Linked DNA regions of Kluyveromyces lactis. The protein of the gene in region 2 interacts with the protein of the main gene of each other region in a pairwise test. Links are inferred from orthologs where the notes say so. Each region holds a gene or a part of one and is shown on either strand. Other genes may lie near its edges.

Region 1 (6,309 bases), on a different chromosome or scaffold from region 2:
ATCTAACATTGACCTAGCGACTAAGGTCCCCAAGTTTTCGAATAATTTCAAAGTCTTTTCGTTATTCTCCTCGGTGGTGCCCAATAATGGTCCAGGGAACAATGCACCTGTCACATACTCCTCCTCATCATCACTGGTATCACTATTGGTCTTCCACATTTTTAGAGACTTCCTTGCAAATTCTTTCGACATCAAAGAGTAAAATTCGAGAGTGGGTCCTAACCCTGTACCTTCTTCATCTTTGTATTCGATCTCCAATACGTTTGGCGAAGAACCATACTTTTTTAGAATTTTGATGCCGGACAAAAATAGTGAGTCTCTTGAAACCCTCAACTTGTGTCTAGTCAACCTGCCTAATTGATGCAATGGATTTTCAGTAGGGTTACTATGGTGCTGATCTGCCAGCTTTTCCCTCCAGTATTGGATCAATCTGCCATATCCATATGATGTATTCTGTAAGAAGTTCATTCTAGTTTCAAATGGAAACAAAAATCCATATTTTCTCGTGATATCGAGGACCCAACTTGGTAAGACCCCACATGCCACAATAAGTGGCTCTTCAAGTTGACGGGAAAGCTTAGCACTAATCTTTGGATTCACATAAATAGATGCTGGGAGTGATTTATGTTGGCAACATTGTAGAACTGTCAAAATACCATTGACAGGCTTCAAATCCGCCCCTTCAAAAGCTGTATCGGGGTAAAGCACATGCAATTGATGTGACTCCCTTCTTTTTACTGATTTCTTGAACTTAAAAGTAGGTACGTTAGTCCAGATACTCGTTGTGGGTAACCCTTCTTTCATCGCCTCTTTGAATATAATAGAGTAAATAGTTGACGATTGATCTAAAAGATGGTCATTCAACGAAAAGTCAAATTGTATGTTTTCAAGTTCTTTGGCAACATTTGTAGGGTTGGCTTGTTGATTAGCACGACTCATGCTCGGAATGATAGAAGTCAAAAATTCCGATTGCACAATCTTGTGTTTCAAGAATTCATCAAGTGTTTTCAAAGATGCAACGCAATGCACGGCAATTACAACATCTTGAAGAGTTTCTGGAACAGTATCTTTTCCCACTTCATCATCGGCCGGCTCATGAACTAATCTTATTTTCATCTGTTTGATTAACGAGGCACTTGGAGAATCGTTGCTACTGGCACCAGCATCTAGGATGGCAAAGGTTTCCGTCCTAGACAATGCATTTTGTAGTAGCTTCACAAATTCAGGCAATTTTTCCTCGAACACTTTCAGAAAAGTCCTCTTGGAGAATGATTGTTTCGTTGAATCAGTTTCAAAGATATTAGCCATAGAATCAATGAGACCAGTGGAAATGAGCTCGAAGCCAGATATGTTGGACATATCATCAAATAATGAGGATTTTACAGCAGTCCAGAAATCCATCCAATATTGTTCGGAATCAGATTGAACATCCAGTTCCTTCATCTTAGTGACAACAGCATTAATTTCAGAAAGCTCGCTGGAGACTTCTTCTTGGTTAGATGAAAACAACTCTAGTAGTGTAGCACTAAACATGGAAACATGTTTTATTAGGTAATAAGGAGTCAAATGATCGTAGATATTAATGCGGATTTTTCTCGGTTTGACAAATTCAGGTATGTTCATGTCGTCGTACTCCATCCTGTAACTGTCTTTTTCTTCATCATCATCTTCATCTTCAATGTCAGAATCAGATCCAAAAACAGGATGAGAATCAGAGTTTTCCGGACGTATATGATATCCTGACTTCTCGGCTTCATCTGATGACGATTCCTGTTTATCAATACTATCTTTCTTGCTGAGCTCATAACTGTAGTGAGAATTCAAAGAGGTTAAAGCATCTGGTATACCTTCTTTTCTTAGTTTCGGTAGATACAAATCCGGATTATTAGACATCATGATAGAAATTAACGAAAGCAGTGCTACTAGTACTGCACTGGTCTCAGTCTTCATATGATCTTGTTGCGCATTTGAACCATTGATGAGACCAGAGGATATTATGTTAATAACGGACGAACTAGGAATATCGTAGCCATGAGGTATAGACGTGAACACCCTAGCCAATGCAACAAGAACTGTATATCTAATCTTAGTATCCACTGTATTGGAATATATTTCCACCAAACAAGGAATCAACTCATTGACTAGTTCAAGGAATTTATCCTCATTTCCGTCAAATGTGAAAACTTTGACCTCATCGGCTGTCAAGATTTGAGAATCTTCAGTTGGGAGCAAAAGTAAGAGGAAAGTTGTTACCGACAACAAAAGCTCTTTAGGAACATAAATCAAAGTTTCACTGAAGGTGGAAGATGCTGATTTCTTATAAGACTGGAAAACGTTTTGAATAACTTTGTTCAACTCACAATCCAATAGGATTTGTTTTGACAATTCAACATTGGTGGAGACCAAGAGTGATGAAATATCCAAGACTTTCAAAACAGATTCACGTTCAATCTCTGAAGAAGATAACAACGACAATAACCTTTTAACCAACTCGAAGTCAAAGAGTTTAGATAATGATTTCTTGTTCAAAGATCCTGAAATGCTGTAAAGTGTTATGAGAACTGGCTTCAAAATTACTGGATTTGTACTATTTAGGAAGATAGATTTCAAGATGGGGAAAATCTCTGATACCACCTCGAAGTCACTTTCCTTAGCCCTAGCACATGAGTTCGCAACGATAGATAATGATTTTTTCTGCGCATGGACGGTAAAGAAATCCAAATATTGCAAACAAGAGAGAAGGGTACCGCTTCTTAAAATCTTAGATCCATGTACCCTTGAAATGAACTCTAAACACTCCAAAACTTGTTCTGCCAAATCGATATAGCTTATCTCATTCAATTTCCCTCTCAATATCTCAATAATATCTCTATTAACCGAAACCTCTATCATTTCTGGGTTCATCTCATAGTAGTTATAGAGACACCTACAAGCAATTAATTGTAACTCCAACTCTGCTTGTAATAATGGGCTAGACAATACATGGATCAAAGCGTCCATTAACTTGCCAGATGGGATGATTCGATCAGCGATCAAAGGGTTTAACATCAATAGCTGTTCAGATAATTCCCGGAGAGATTCCATAGCAATATACGGATCGTCTTCAGCTTGAAGCACATTCTCAATCAATTTCAAATACCGAGAATTTCCTCTGCTAACACCGAAAAACCCTTCAGACCTTCCTAGTTCTTGCAACAGATCTGGCAATGAACGTCCAAATGCACGCTCCGAATCAGCTTCCTCGCCTTCAGCAACATCACCATCCCCACTTTCACCAGATCTTTGATCCGCTAGACGAGAAACAATATCTTGTAGAAACGAAATCCTGTCCGCACGGTCCCCAGAACGGCTTTCATGATAAACATTCCCTATCTCACCTTCTACTTCCTCATCGTCTTGATCTTCATCTTGATCTTCGTCCAACTGCTCTCCTTGCGATCCATCTTCTTCCCCGTCTTCGTCTTCATCATCATCATCATCGTGATGGACAAACTCTAAATCATCTTCATCCTCTGGATAAGAATATTCGCCAGATTCAACATCATCACTTTCATGGCTACCGTTCGCATCTTCATATATGATATAGTCGCCATCGCCATCGTAATAACTCATCTTTTCAAAACCCTTTCCTGTTTCAAATCACAAATAAGAGGCAAAATTACTATCTAAAATTTCTAGTTCACAACCCGGTATCTCTTACCACCTTAATAATTGGTATCTTAGAGGTTGTTAGACTTTGGCAAGCAATACAAGAGGTATGTTTAACTCGCCGGCTGTTCATATCAAACCAACTAGTTTGTTTCCTGCTAAATATGTACTGAGATTGCAATTTCCTGACTCTGAACTTTTAAGGTACATTTTGGTCCGGTACACTGCGGTTTTATCTGAGGAAAATATACACAATACCCGTCGCCACAAGTAATGAGTCACGTGACTAAGTTTACTTCCCCATTTACAATACATCTCCGGTAATAGGTTAAATCATTACCACTATATCTACTTGCCCGATACACGATCATGCCCTATCTGTGCCTTTCTAGTCTTGATATTTGTGTTGAATTGAGATCTATTGTCTCATTGGCAATGAGTGAGAGACTCAGAAATCAGTCAAGGGAATTCATACCGGAGTTTGGTTTTGCAGTTCCTTAGAATAAACCTCTCTAACCGAGCTTATGAGAATGGCCCTAGAGCATTGCAAAAGAGCCGGTATATGTCTTACCGATTCACTTTGTGTCAGAGGTCGTTACTTTCCGTTTGGAAAAATCAAATCACGTGACTCACAACTAGAAAGAAAAAGAAAGGCGCAAATTTTTCAGTTTGAGAAAGCTCATCTCATCGCATCTACTCGATGGACCTTTCATAGTTTAAACTGATCAACAGTACTAATCGCTATATTCTATCAGTTGTATTCCTCTTTATTTATCTCTCTTCTGTAATTGAATAGTGTTCTGATAATTGTTTACTTTTCGTTACTCTTTATCATCAAGCTACTACATATACCAACCCAGATACGATGCCAAGATCTAAGCGTTCAAAGTTGGTTACATTGGCCCAAACCGATAAGAAGGGTAGAGAGAACAAGGAAAGGATATTCGATGAAGTTAGAGAAGCCTTGGATTCTTTCAGATACGCTTGGGTTTTACATTTGGAAGATGTGAGAACTCCAGTTTTGCAAGAGATTAGAAGTTCTTGGGTTGGATCCAAGTTAATCATGGGTAAGAGGAAGGTGTTGGTGAAAGCGTTAGGTGAAAAGCCAGAGGAAGAGTACAAGGAGAACTTGGCCAAACTATGTAAGCACTGTTCTGGTGTTACTGGTCTATTATTTACCAACGAACCTGTCGATGTAGTGGAAGATTACTTCAAGGCATATGTGAGAGCTGATTTCTCCAGACCAAAATCAAAGGCTCCATTGTCTTTTACCATTCCAGCCGGTATTGTATACTCTCGTGGTGGTCAAATCCCAGAAGAAGAAGATGTGCCTATGATACATTCTCTGGAACCAACTCTAAGAAACAAGTTCAAGATTCCAACCAAAATTAAGAATGGTAAGATTACCATCGAATCTCCATACTTGGTCTGTGAAAAGGGCAAAACTCTAGATGTTACTCAAGCATTGATCTTGAAACAATTTGGTATAGCAGCTGCTGAATTCAGGGTGAAGGTTGCCGCATACTACGATAACGAAACTTCTAGTGTGGAACAGATCAATATCAACATGGATTCGAAATAAATCCAAAAATAAGAAAGCATTGCAGTGATAAACTATAAATATATATATATAATCATAACCTATATATTTCTCCTTTGTACATTAATCTCTTCTCTAGGAATCCTTTATCGAATACACGTACTGCCAATATTCGGTCAGATTCTTCCAACCTTGAGACATCATTCCCAGATCTGTCGCTGACACCATTCTGATACGCACAGCGTACTGATTTTCCAGTCGAAGCGATCCATGAAGGATGAGGTTACAATGTCGCAGCTGGGAGATTGACAGATCAAGAGTTTTCTGTGTCTCTTCTGATTCCAATTGTTCTTTCGTCATTAACAGGGACTCTAAACCGTAGATGATAATTTCTTCATAGCACATCGATGTGTTTCCTTTATTCTGGAGCTCAATCTCGACATATGTCAAGTACATATATAAATACTGTAATTTATCAAGGAACAGAATCCGCACGTTGGATCGTCCCCTGACTATATCATCAATACTGTTAAAGAAATGCGTCTTGTTTTCCCGTAGATCTTGCTCGAAGAAACTTCGAGCCTTAACGCCAACTGCTATAACTAGAACTTTCTTGTTACGGTCCAATACATCACGCAGTACATCTTCCATCGGTTTATAAGGATGAAAAATAATCTTAACCAATGCTATCCTACTAGGAAATACCTTATCCTAATAAATTAATTTCACGCTTGTAAGCCGGTACATTAATTGTTTCAGATGCGTAATAGCCTTGACGGTTTGAAATGTTGATACTTAGACCACATAAAACACGTGATATTTAATTACTGAGAATATATCAAAGTATCAACTCGTATACAATGATCTGGAAAATTTTATTGAATTGGTGAATTGGACAGTTGGTTATCGTAGCGTTTGGTATATTAAATTACGATGATTTGAAGAAGGTAAAAGGTAAAGGAAGTGATTTAGTCGACATTTTGAGTGTTACCTTCACCTTATAGTGAGAACTGTATCATTTGTCCGGAATGTCTGTTAGATACTGCACCAAAAATTTGGTGGGGAGGGCGCCATTTGCCTTAAGATCAGGTGCAGTGAGACTGCAAAGTTCTTCATCAAAG
Region 2 (5,791 bases):
CAAATAATGGGTAATTCTTTTTTATTATCGTATAGACATGATTAATACACAGAAACAGCACAAACAATACATTGTATTTAAATACAATTGAGCCGCATATGTGATTGATTGATGAGATTTCAAATAAGTGAGTTGAAAATAAATAGGAGTAGAGGGAAAAACAGCTAACAACAAATAAGATGAACATCAATGCGCAGATATTCACGCTTTATGGTCATATATGTTTTACCCTTTTTATCTCTTGAATCGAGTGAGATTCCGATAGCGAAAAGGATGAATGTTATGAAAATCTGAGAACATCATTCCAAAGTTGATGTCCTAGGCCTGGTAGACGTATGGAGTGCCGGATAGATAAATGTTTCCCGACAGTAGCGTATCCACATTTTTAAAATATGTTTTGAAGTGACGGTATATTCTAAGAAGTAAAATAATTGAACAAAAGCATCAATGAAAAGACACTTAAAAGTATAATGATGAGAAATGATATAATTCAAATGTCAAAAGAAACTTATTCATCGTCTTCTTCATCTTCTTCACCACCGTTCATGATACCACCCTTGATATCTTTCCATAACTTACCTTTGTTGTGGTTTTCGTACCAAGAGGTCACACCAGTATCGAAGGCAGCTTGGAAAACGAAGGCAGAGGCGAACACGGTACCAACGAAAACAGAGTTTCTCTTAAAGACAGTTTTGTACAGAGTAGAGGCGAAAGACTGTGATAATTAAGTTGTTCAGAAAAATAATTGTTAGTAATATGATCTAATATTTCATGTAGTCAATCCGCAATGATCTGGGAAAACAGCCGCTGGATTTTGCCCAGAAGGTGTCCATTCTTCACTTGTTTGATGTAACTGATATACATGCGATAAGCCATGGTCGTACTTCGAAGATAAATGTAGTATTGAGACTGCCTTTCTATTATATGGAGATATCGGTCATACCTCCAGGGAACCTTAACAGGCATCGGAAACACCACGGGATATGCAGACATTCAGCTTTGGAAGTATATTTCACTAATAATAGTATAATTGTACATTAGCATCTGCTCAATGTAATTTGCATCGTGTTTACAAACAGTTTTTTCAGTTCCCAGTTTTCGGTTTCTCAATTCCAGAAGTCAAATAAGACATCTACGCCAAAATCAATGTTTTCAGATCCAGAAAAGACGCATATCATATGTATTATCCATGACTAATCAAATCATTAACATACCATTTCTAAAACGGGAGTTCTGGTTTCTGTTGAGCTGAACTTTTTCTTATTAAACCTTGTCTTTGGCATCAGTCGAAGTTAGCTTTCCGTTTTATACATTTATCCAGTTTTTCAAAAATTTGAAGAAAAGTTCCGTACTCGGATATAATTGGGTCGTATGGTATGATATCCAGAAGTAATCACGTGCAAAAGTCTAGTACTGGGAGTACTTTCAACATGAATTATCAAAGGGTGGGACAGAGTCAGGCTACAATAAAAGATTCTGTAAGATATTGGACGGCATAGTATCCTGTGGTCAGTCCACTCCACATATTGCAGATTTATGCAAAACTAGTAAAAATATCTTATATCGATGTGTGCATAAACGAAATAACGTGCTATTCTATATATATTTGGTACATTGAAGTTGTGAATGGTGCCATAAGGTTAAGGCAATTTTGAGGTGTGACGAGCAAAAAGTTATTCATTCTACGTTATTTAACTCGTTGAAATCAAAACCTTCTTCTGCAGAACTGTATTCCGTGTCTTGATCTTCCGAAGCGTTGTTTTCGTGCTCTTCGTCCTCACCATCTTCATTGCCGTCACTTTGATCATTCAGTTCAAAGTGCTCTCTATTTCTATCTGCACGGCCGAAGAATCCATTCATTGCATTTCCTTGCAGTTGTTCAATGATATCTTCTGTAGTCGGAATGTCTGCGCCATCACCTTGCATACCCCCTCTCATGTTTTGAACAAACTCGAAAAAATCATGTATGTCACCTCTTTCGGTTGGTAATCTTATAGGGATATCTCCACCGAATGGTCCACCATTGATGCGTAATTCAACATCAGGCTGTCTAAACCTTAGATCTGGACGATCATCATTCCCAAACTCATCATCGTTCATAAGGTCCTCGTCACTGCTCTCCCCACCAGCGTTGAAAGCAGCACCAGGTCTCCAAAACATGTTCCTCGTAAATGTTCGGTTATTTGCCATCGCAACCCTGAATTCGTCCCCCATTACTCGGCTGATATAACCGGGGATACCATTTGAAATCCAAAGACGAGTTAAATGTTCATATCTAGCATGATTTAATACTGTTAGATCACCTCGTTCGATAGCGTTTCTTCCTGATTCACCGTGTGAGTTCAAATAAGGGGCCGAAATGTTGACGGTACAGTCCGGTCTACTTAAATAGAGGCACACTTGACTGATATTAGGAATTAAAAACAACCCACTGGAACCATGGGAACACCTTTCCATGTGCTTTTGCATTTCAAGGCCATCTGTACGTGCGTGAATCTTGACACCACATATCAAACAAATTTTATAATCAAGTCTGTTGACAGTATTTCTAATTTTTTGATCATTCTCTTCACGCAAAGTAATGTTTTTATTATTAGTCACATAAGTATTCAAATGAGTTGCTAAATCGGTTAATTTGATGATACTGCAGTACTCATGTGGAGCATTAACCAAGGAGCTTTCAGGGGAGAGAGGAGAATGCGAATTCATCAACAAGTCATAAAAATCAGTCTGGAGCAAAAATCTTATCAAAAGATGGAAATGTTTTTCTTTGCTTTCGGAAGTAAGGCTACCACTCAGCACATCTTTTTCATTAAAATCTAAATCATCCCCCCCTGTCATAAATTGCTTTAAGGCCTTCAGCAAGATAATTGATCTCCTTAGCGTAGGTAGCAATTCAGAAATTAAGAAGGTATAGAACAAATCCAAGGTGTGCTTTTCAACTTGATCACCAAATCCAGCTCCTAATATCGTTGTTTTCAATACAATTGAAAATTCAGAGGAGTCAAGGCAAGTCTGGGCTCGAAGCTCGGATTCATATTTCCTATAGAAAGACCCAAAGTCTTTTGTCAGACCCTTCAAACGCTCCACGAGTACTTCCTGTAAACAATCCTTAAAGGAAAGTCTAGACCTTAATACCGTTTCAACAACTCGGAAAAACGGATAACTTGGTAAATTGCTGCTACGAATATCTTCATAGAATTTGAGTACATTCTCTTCAGTATGCTTAGTTAATCGTGTGTAGACAGCCAAGGACTTGAGAATGTTCTGCAGTGTCTTAAATTTCTGTTCTTCACCTGATAAGAGTGTTCCAAAAGGATCTTTATTAAGCCTGGACAACATCTCTAGCATACAGATGTTGTTAGAAAACTGAAGAGAGAGAGTTAAAAACCTATCCTGGATCCAAGTAGGATCATTGCGATTTAACCGTAGACCATTGTTAGAATCTTTGAGAGATAGTATTATTTTTCCAACTTCGTCGTTACATTCAGAGCTGTACTCAGAAAAAGTTAGCAATAAAGATTCATCCAAGCCTCCAGTCAATTTCTGTTGCAAAAGCCTATCACCAGATTGAAGTTTAACTGTATCGACAGGTATGACTGAATTACAATACGTTTGACATAATGGGCAGATGAAGAGATCTGTACTATACCGCTTCTTATCAATATAATGTTTGAAACAGCGATAGTGCACGGCATGATTACAAGATACAAGAACCTTCTGTGTAGACTCATGCATTAGTTGACTAGCTCCGTTTTCTTTTTTCTTGTAAAACAAATCTGTGTTATAAGTGGCGAGGTGTTCGTTATTGTCAAAGCCATGCCATGGTTTGTATATTTCCATTGGCGTAGGGTTGGACGATAGAAAGACAGGAGAGTAGTTTTGATAAATTGGGATAACAAAAAAATCATCTGACACATCGTCATGACAAAGAGAGCAGTGAAATTCATTGAGTTCTCCTGCCAGATCTTCTCCGTCCATATCCACATCTTCGTCATTACCAGCACTGTACTCCTCGTGCTTGTCCATGAATTTTTTCTGCTGACGGGAGAATCTATTCATAATCTGTTGTTGACGATTTTTGGCTAACCTTCTTTTACGCTCCTGCTCTGTCTCCTCGAAATTTACACCTTGATTTGCTTTTCTGATTTTGTAGTCCGCGATGTACTTTGTTCCGAAACACTCTGTTAGAGATTCTAAAACTGCCGTTGGGCGCTTCATGATCATGTTATCTAGAAGGTAATCAGCAGTTGCCACGACATTCTCAGAAAACGATCCGCTTTCAGAGTCAACAATGCTCAATAACAAATCACATATTGGTTTGCTAATATACGCCTCTGGCAAAGAATCTTTACCATTGACCATTTCGTCGTCTCTAAAAATGGCATGAATTAAATGAAGTAGCTCGTAAGTAAACGAAAAACTGGAATCGGAGACAGCCAACTTTAATAGCTTGAATATCAACTTCGCAAAGAGATTTGTTCTTGTGAAGCTTCCTAGTTCTCGCGCACATGGGTCTAATTCATCTAATTCAAGTAATTGGGGTTTGACAATTATTTTGGCCCGTTTTTCCTTGCTATCAGCTAAATGTGACTTAACAATCGTGGCACTATGTTCAAAATCATTTCCCATATTCAGTAACCGCAGGGAATCTATTCTCTTGTAGAGTTCCTTCTTTAGTTTGAAAACACCATTATCTTCGAGCCCTTTGGGCTCAATGTACGTAGAAACTTCTTCGAGAACTGTATCAAATTGGGAAACACTTTCAGTAAGGTAATCGGGTATATCGTTCAATAAGTCAGTGTATGATAGTGGTTCAGCGTATAGTTTATAAATAATGGCATTCTTAATGTTGTACAATTGTGTTTCTTCCAGGGTATCGAACTTTTTATAAAAGTCTCTTTCCACCAATATCTGATATAGGAATGCAACGAATTGTTGAATAATCGACGATATTTTATCATCGTACACTGTCTCTGTCGAGGGAACACTTCCATCAAACCAGTCAAGTAATTCCCACCTATCTAACATGTTATAGATGACTCTTTGAAAATCGTTTTTTTCAATTAGAAACGCCAATTGATTAAGTTGTATGTCTCTGCTATAGGAGCTCATTTCAGGATTGTTCTTGTAATATGCTGACTGGTGAAGAACTGACATACCATTTCTAACCCAAAATCCTATATCGATTTGCGAACATAAGACGACAGATCTCAAAGCAAAATCCGAAATAACTAGATAGTCTTTGGATTGAGATAAAACTTGAATTGACACCTGTAAGGGAACATGCTGCACAAGGAAAGAAAACAAAGTATGAACGGGATTCATAAATGAAACTCGTTCTTTGCTGATTTGGAATTTTATGATTTCAAAGTCTTTGTATAATTTGTATGACAAGTTTCTATGTCCCAAAAATGAATCCAATAAGTTGATGGCCCCAATAAGCAATCGCTGGTCAATGTGATCCTTTGATTGCTGCAAAACTTTATCAAAAGTCTGAATGATGCTATAGACTGATGTCGTATACTCCAAATATGGAATAAAATGCTGGTCTTCCCTTAAAACATGCTCTCCTTCCTTTCTTTTAATCTTCCATGCGCCGTTGAAGAGTTTACATAGTGTTACAATCATGATAAACTCTCCCGGTTTCAACAATAGATTAGGGTCAGTGATTTTACTGAGTAAAGTTTCTACAGCATACAATCCTTGTTTGAATGATATACTGTAGCTTTTAGAAGGGTTACTTCTCTGAACCCGTTGCCAAACCAACGTGCCCTCATCCATGGTAGAA
Region 3 (5,193 bases), on a different chromosome or scaffold from region 2:
ATAGTTTATCAGTCTCATTATTTTTAATAGCATCTAAGACTTTTTGAATACCTTCTTCTACTTCTTCAGTGATCAATTCACCATAATCATCTTCTTCTTCTGAGGTCGAACTATCTTCATCGTCATCGTCTACTTCAGCAGGAACCTCTTTAGAAGCAGTGACATCATGCTTTGACCCAGTTTTCACACTTATGACCTCGGTATTCTTGCCTTCAACGTCGGTAGTTGGAACCTTCGTTGAACTGCCCTTCACTGCAACTGACTCTTGCTTCTTGATGGCTTCTCTAGCCTTCTTGGCAGCAGATTTCTTTCTAGGCATTTATGTATAAGAAACTTGGTTCACTTATGTTAAACTGTTCTTTGAGGAAAAATAATCAACAGGATACGATTGCCCAAGTTAAATAGCAATGAAAGCCTCCCTTGATGCTAATCTTTCCTCTTTCTCATTGATACAGATTCGATGAGATGCGATGGGCTTCAGTTTGTAAAACTTTCGCTCCATGGTTTTCGATCAGAACATGATGAAAAAGAAATTCAAACACGTGACCGCTAACGCAGAGAAACAGGTCCTGGTTATACCGTTTGTAGTCTGTGCGCGGACGTCTTTCGAAGGCGCAAGATGTAGGCAAGCCTCAAAAACGGTAATATGGGCTTCCCACAGATAATTGTTGGGTTTAGTACTCAGTTAGAAATCACACAATCGTCGTTTACTCACCTGCAAGCTGAATCTGCAACGTATTATTTGTATCTGCATGATATTCTCCCATATTATTTCATAGGAAAATAAAGGAAATCCAACAAGTGTGAGCTTTAAAGAAGAATATATTTAAAGGTACTAAAGTAAAAGTCAACGGGACTGCTGGCTCTATTTGTTGCTGAACATCTTGTTTTAACTTACAGGGTAAATACAACGGTTATTTTTTAGATTGAACAGCTTACACGCCTAATACAATGGACACCTCACATGAAAGACTGTTTCGTTTGCCCTTCAAGTTGCCAACTTCGGTATCGGCCAAAAAGGTGTGCGTTTATGTAGCTGGTGCCTTATACGGTGCGGGTCTCTGGTCCTTCTTAGATTGTGTGTTGTACTCCAAGCATGCAAATGGTTCAGATTTGCACATTTCATTTATTGACTGGGTGCCAATGCTATGCAGTGTGCTTGGGATGGCAATTGTGAGTTCTATCGAAAAAAATAGATTGCTACAAGACGCTTTATCCTCAGGAACGTTCACCGGATCTCAATCTACTGCATGGCAGGCCAGAGTAGTACTTTTCCTAGGATTTTCACTGTTAGCAAGCGGCATTTCCGGTTCTTTGGTCGTTTTGATTGTTAAGTTTTTATTGAAGGATTATACCTCCTATCCAACCTTAGGAATGGGAATTAACAATGTGCTTGCAAACCTGGCTATTCTTCTAAGTTGCACCATGTTATGGATTGGACAAAATGTGGAGGATGAATATAACTATTCATTGACTCTATGATGTGTCAATGAAACTTCGTGAAGTATCATATTGGATTGCCGTATTTAAGAACAGTGTACAGATATAGCCTTCTGCATGTATACGTATAAATACCTTCCCAATTTTAAAACGTATTAGAAACGGTCAATTATTCCTATGACTCAACAGCCCCTCTATGAGTTGTACATGTCTCATTTTATTATCTCTGGAACACAATTAGCATGAACGGTAACGTACGATAAATTGGTAACGGGCTAAGCCTGGAGTGCTGAATGAAGAATATCGATGTATTAGAAGAGCGTAGAATTAATAATAATAATAATAATAATAATAATAATAATAATAATAATAATAATAATAATAATAATAATAATAATAATAATAATAATAATAATAATAAAATAAAAGATTAAAGGTAAGATAAACAGCAGGATTGAAAAACAATGATGCTGAGAACTGGATTTAGAGGACGTAGAATCATCGGAAAGACTGTCCTTGAGATAGTTTATCGTAGCTTGTGAAATGCATTGAAGTTGATACAAAGGATTACAGAAAGGAAAAAAATGTCAAGAGGCAAGAATCAATCTTGCTTTGGCTGTATCTTTGGAAAAAGGTCGCCAATGACTTGCAATTCGAAATCAGAGAAGTCATAAAGAGGAGGTAAATGTTTAGGTTGTGAACTTCCGCTAGGGAAGAAATAGCGCTCATTTCTTAAATCATCAAAGAATGGATGTGCAAGGATCCTTCTTGGAGAAGCTCTTCTTTCAGGTTCGTATACCAACACACTCATCAACAAATCAACACCATCTGGTCCAGCGTAGCCGAAATATTTCTCGAATCTTGCTTTTGGAGCTCCTTCAAATAATGGCTTGGAGAATAAAGGTCCATTGTACGATGGATTAGAAAAAAAGATGAACCTTTTGTCAGGAGGCCCGAGTAATTTTGTGATTTCATGTAGTTGTAATAATGGTTGATGGCCTTGGAATACTGCTTTACCTAAGAGCATTTCTCCCAATACACATCCTAATCCCCAAATATCTATCTTTGTTGTGTATTGTGTACATCCTACAATCAATTCTGGAGCTCTATAATATCTTGAACAGATGTAACTAATCGATGGTTGGTTCGATTCTAACTTTTTCGCTGATCCAAAATCACAAATCTTCAATATACCCGTTTGTGGATCAACCAAGACGTTTGAAGGTTTTATGTCTCTATGGCATATTCCTAGTGCATGTAGGTAAAGCATACCTCTAGCAATTTGGTAGGCGTATAGTTTAACGTGCTTCAACGGTAACTCCAAGTTATTCTTCTTATATCGTAAAATTTCGTTTTGTAGCATTTCGGGCAAGCATTCCATCGCCAAATGTTGGTATAATTTATGATCTGTTGGTGAGATATGAGTGTAGAAATATTCCAATTTGACAACATTTGGATGGTCCGCAATTCGTAAAATCTCTAACTCTCTAGATTTATACTCAGTCTGAGCAGGAACCTTCTTAATGGCAAAAGGACCCAACCACTTCTGATTATCCGGTGTTAGGTAAGCTTGCACCACCGTGCCAAATGCACCTTGCCCAATTCGCTTATATTCCTTTACGAGCATTTCTCGCTTGACATTGGATTTATTACTGATGACATCATGAGCCACGTATTCATCTAATCTTTGCATAGACATGGCGAATCGCAATAAGGGGAAAGAAGACAGATAGTAACAGATACAAAAGCGATGCGATATCTATCGAATAAGAAAAAAATTACCACTTTTTGTTCGTTGTATTTCGCTCAAGTCTTCAAATTACAAACTTCAACCGTTATTTTGCAAGCAAACCTTAGAATATAGATATGTTCCTAACGGATGTAACGTGGATGGTTCAGGAAAAAAAGGGAAATATTGAATTGTAATGAATCAATAAAATCTGTATTAAATGAATTGATGAAATGAAATCGCTAATATTAATAAAAGCAACACAACAGGGGGAAAACACTCTTACTCAAGCAAGTCAATTAGTCCCTTGCAACAAGTGATGCAGCAGTGTCTATAATGTTTCTTCGCAGTAAATTCTTCGCGCTGCAATCGCTCGGCAAATTCAACAACTAGAAGTTCCCAGAACTTAAACGTTTGAGCACCCTTAGCAGTGTTGTGTCCGTTATCAGAGACCCTATTTGTTACTTTGAAACAAGGTTCTGGTTTATTTTTTGTTTGTTTTTTCCTAATTTCCTAAAACTAAAATTGATTTTCATATTCGGTTTTCCAAGAATCTGATATCAATATGACTGACTGACTACTGACTGAGTTACACAATTATTGATAAAAGCGATATAAAAGACGTTCTAATTGAGGGAACGTTCCAAACAAAATTTAATTCTAAGATCTCCCAGAGCCAGCTTTTATGAAGTTCGACTCTGAGAGTACTACACTCTCTCTAGATATGAATGCACAAACGAAGTTAAATTGGCATTTATAGCATTAATGAGGAATTACTCAGGTTCAGGTCCTATATCCTCCACCTGAACTTTCTCTTGATTGTAGCATCAAGTTGTAGAAATGGTTTGGGGAATGCGAGGTGATCTTCGCCAGTCTGCATATAATATTTCTATCAAATGTTTACCCCATCGCATCTCGGCACTCTTTATCAACGTGATATCTTCCGCCAGTGGACTGCAGGCACTTCACATTAAAGGCTAATCCTTATACACCGGGTAATGACAAGTTAGTCACGTGTTAATGCAACACCGGGTAATGGTTTATGAGCATATCTTGAAAATGAATTGGGAAAACAGAAGATATTTAGAGTTTGCATTTCATAGAGGAATACTATTCGTCTGAGTATGGAGACCTGCATTCGAGAAAGACACAGGTTGTGGTTAATATAAATCGGCGTCGAAAATACACCACGATGCTGAGAACATTAGTGAGACTGTTCAGCTCAACGGCCAGGACAAACCAAGATGTGGCTTCCATCTTATTTTCATCTGTCAAAGGATCAGAAAAGGCTCCAGTGATGGAAGACACCAATGTTGTCCAACCTAATACTCTTCGTGGTAGCAATAAGAAAGGGAGAGTCGATGAAGCAGTGATAAAATATATATTGAACTGCAGATTCACTAAGAACAATACACATTTCACATACAGTGCCGTAATGGAGGATAGAAACTTTTTGGCGAACAATCCACAATTATCCTACAACGAAAAATATCTATACTATTTGAAACTCCCACAACAGGTCAAATTTCATTTATCTACTGGTCATTTAGGGTTCCGTAAAGCTGCCCGTGGTGAATATGAAGCCTCATTCCAAACAGCAACTAAGTTATTTGAAACTCTTTATCAGAAGAAGCTACTGGATAAGAATATAGAAATTGTTATGAGAGACTTCGGTAAGGGAAGAGATGCTTTCATCAGTGCATTGAACGGTAAGGAAGGAAACCTCATCAGACGTCACATATCTAGAGTAGCCGATGCTACTGAATTGAAATTCGGTGGTGTGAAGGCCCCAAGACCAAGAAGATTGTGATTCGGTCTCTCACCATTTCATCTTTCACTAATAGTCTCTGTGTATAGACATGAATTTGGAAAATAATTCGGTATAATAACAAATAATGCATGTATATAAATTTAACGTAACGCACCAGAATTTTCGTTTAAATACATTAAGACAGCAATTCGAAGTATGATTTCACACAATTATGACATTGCTCATGCCTTATAATCTCTGGATGCTAATTTCA

What was found.
Region 1: the proteins of UBR1 (region 2) and UFD4 interact in a two-hybrid assay, tested with the Saccharomyces cerevisiae proteins (2 studies listed by BioGRID, with this or other methods). The link is inferred for Kluyveromyces lactis from reciprocal best matches to the Saccharomyces cerevisiae genes UBR1 and UFD4.
Region 3: the proteins of UBR1 (region 2) and MCK1 interact in binary tests that used the Saccharomyces cerevisiae proteins (3 or more experiments, as listed by UniProt). The link is inferred for Kluyveromyces lactis from reciprocal best matches to the Saccharomyces cerevisiae genes UBR1 and MCK1.

Annotation. Positions count from the first base shown.
Region 1 is NC_006038.1:1,183,730-1,190,038, reverse strand, and holds the start of UFD4 (putative ubiquitin-protein ligase UFD4), read right to left. Parts: upstream 3,613-6,309; coding exon 1-3,612. Other genes in the region: mRNA turnover protein MRT4, read left to right, coding at 4,514-5,230; SHU1 (Shu1p), read right to left, coding at 5,324-5,839; MRP4 (mitochondrial 37S ribosomal protein uS2m), read left to right, coding at 6,217-6,309. UniProt on the Saccharomyces cerevisiae protein: E3 ubiquitin-protein ligase which accepts ubiquitin from an E2 ubiquitin-conjugating enzyme in the form of a thioester and then directly transfers the ubiquitin to targeted substrates.
Region 2 is NC_006042.1:1,408,779-1,414,569, forward strand, and holds the end of UBR1 (E3 ubiquitin-protein ligase UBR1), read right to left. Parts: coding exon 1,678-5,791; downstream 1-1,677. Other genes in the region: QCR9 (ubiquinol--cytochrome-c reductase subunit 9), read right to left, coding at 509-715, 1,215-1,283. UniProt on the Saccharomyces cerevisiae protein: Ubiquitin ligase protein which is a component of the N-end rule pathway. Recognizes and binds to proteins bearing specific N-terminal residues that are destabilizing according to the N-end rule, leading to their ubiquitination and subsequent degradation.
Region 3 is NC_006041.1:670,649-675,841, forward strand, and holds MCK1 (serine/threonine/tyrosine protein kinase MCK1), read right to left. Parts: upstream 3,140-5,193; coding exon 2,042-3,139; downstream 1-2,041. Other genes in the region: KRI1 (Kri1p), read right to left, coding at 1-319; VPS68 (Vps68p), read left to right, coding at 952-1,482; MRPS18 (mitochondrial 37S ribosomal protein YmS18), read left to right, coding at 4,362-4,979. UniProt on the Saccharomyces cerevisiae protein: May be an autophosphorylating tyrosine kinase, a bifunctional (serine/tyrosine-specific) protein kinase, or a serine kinase that is a substrate for an associated tyrosine kinase.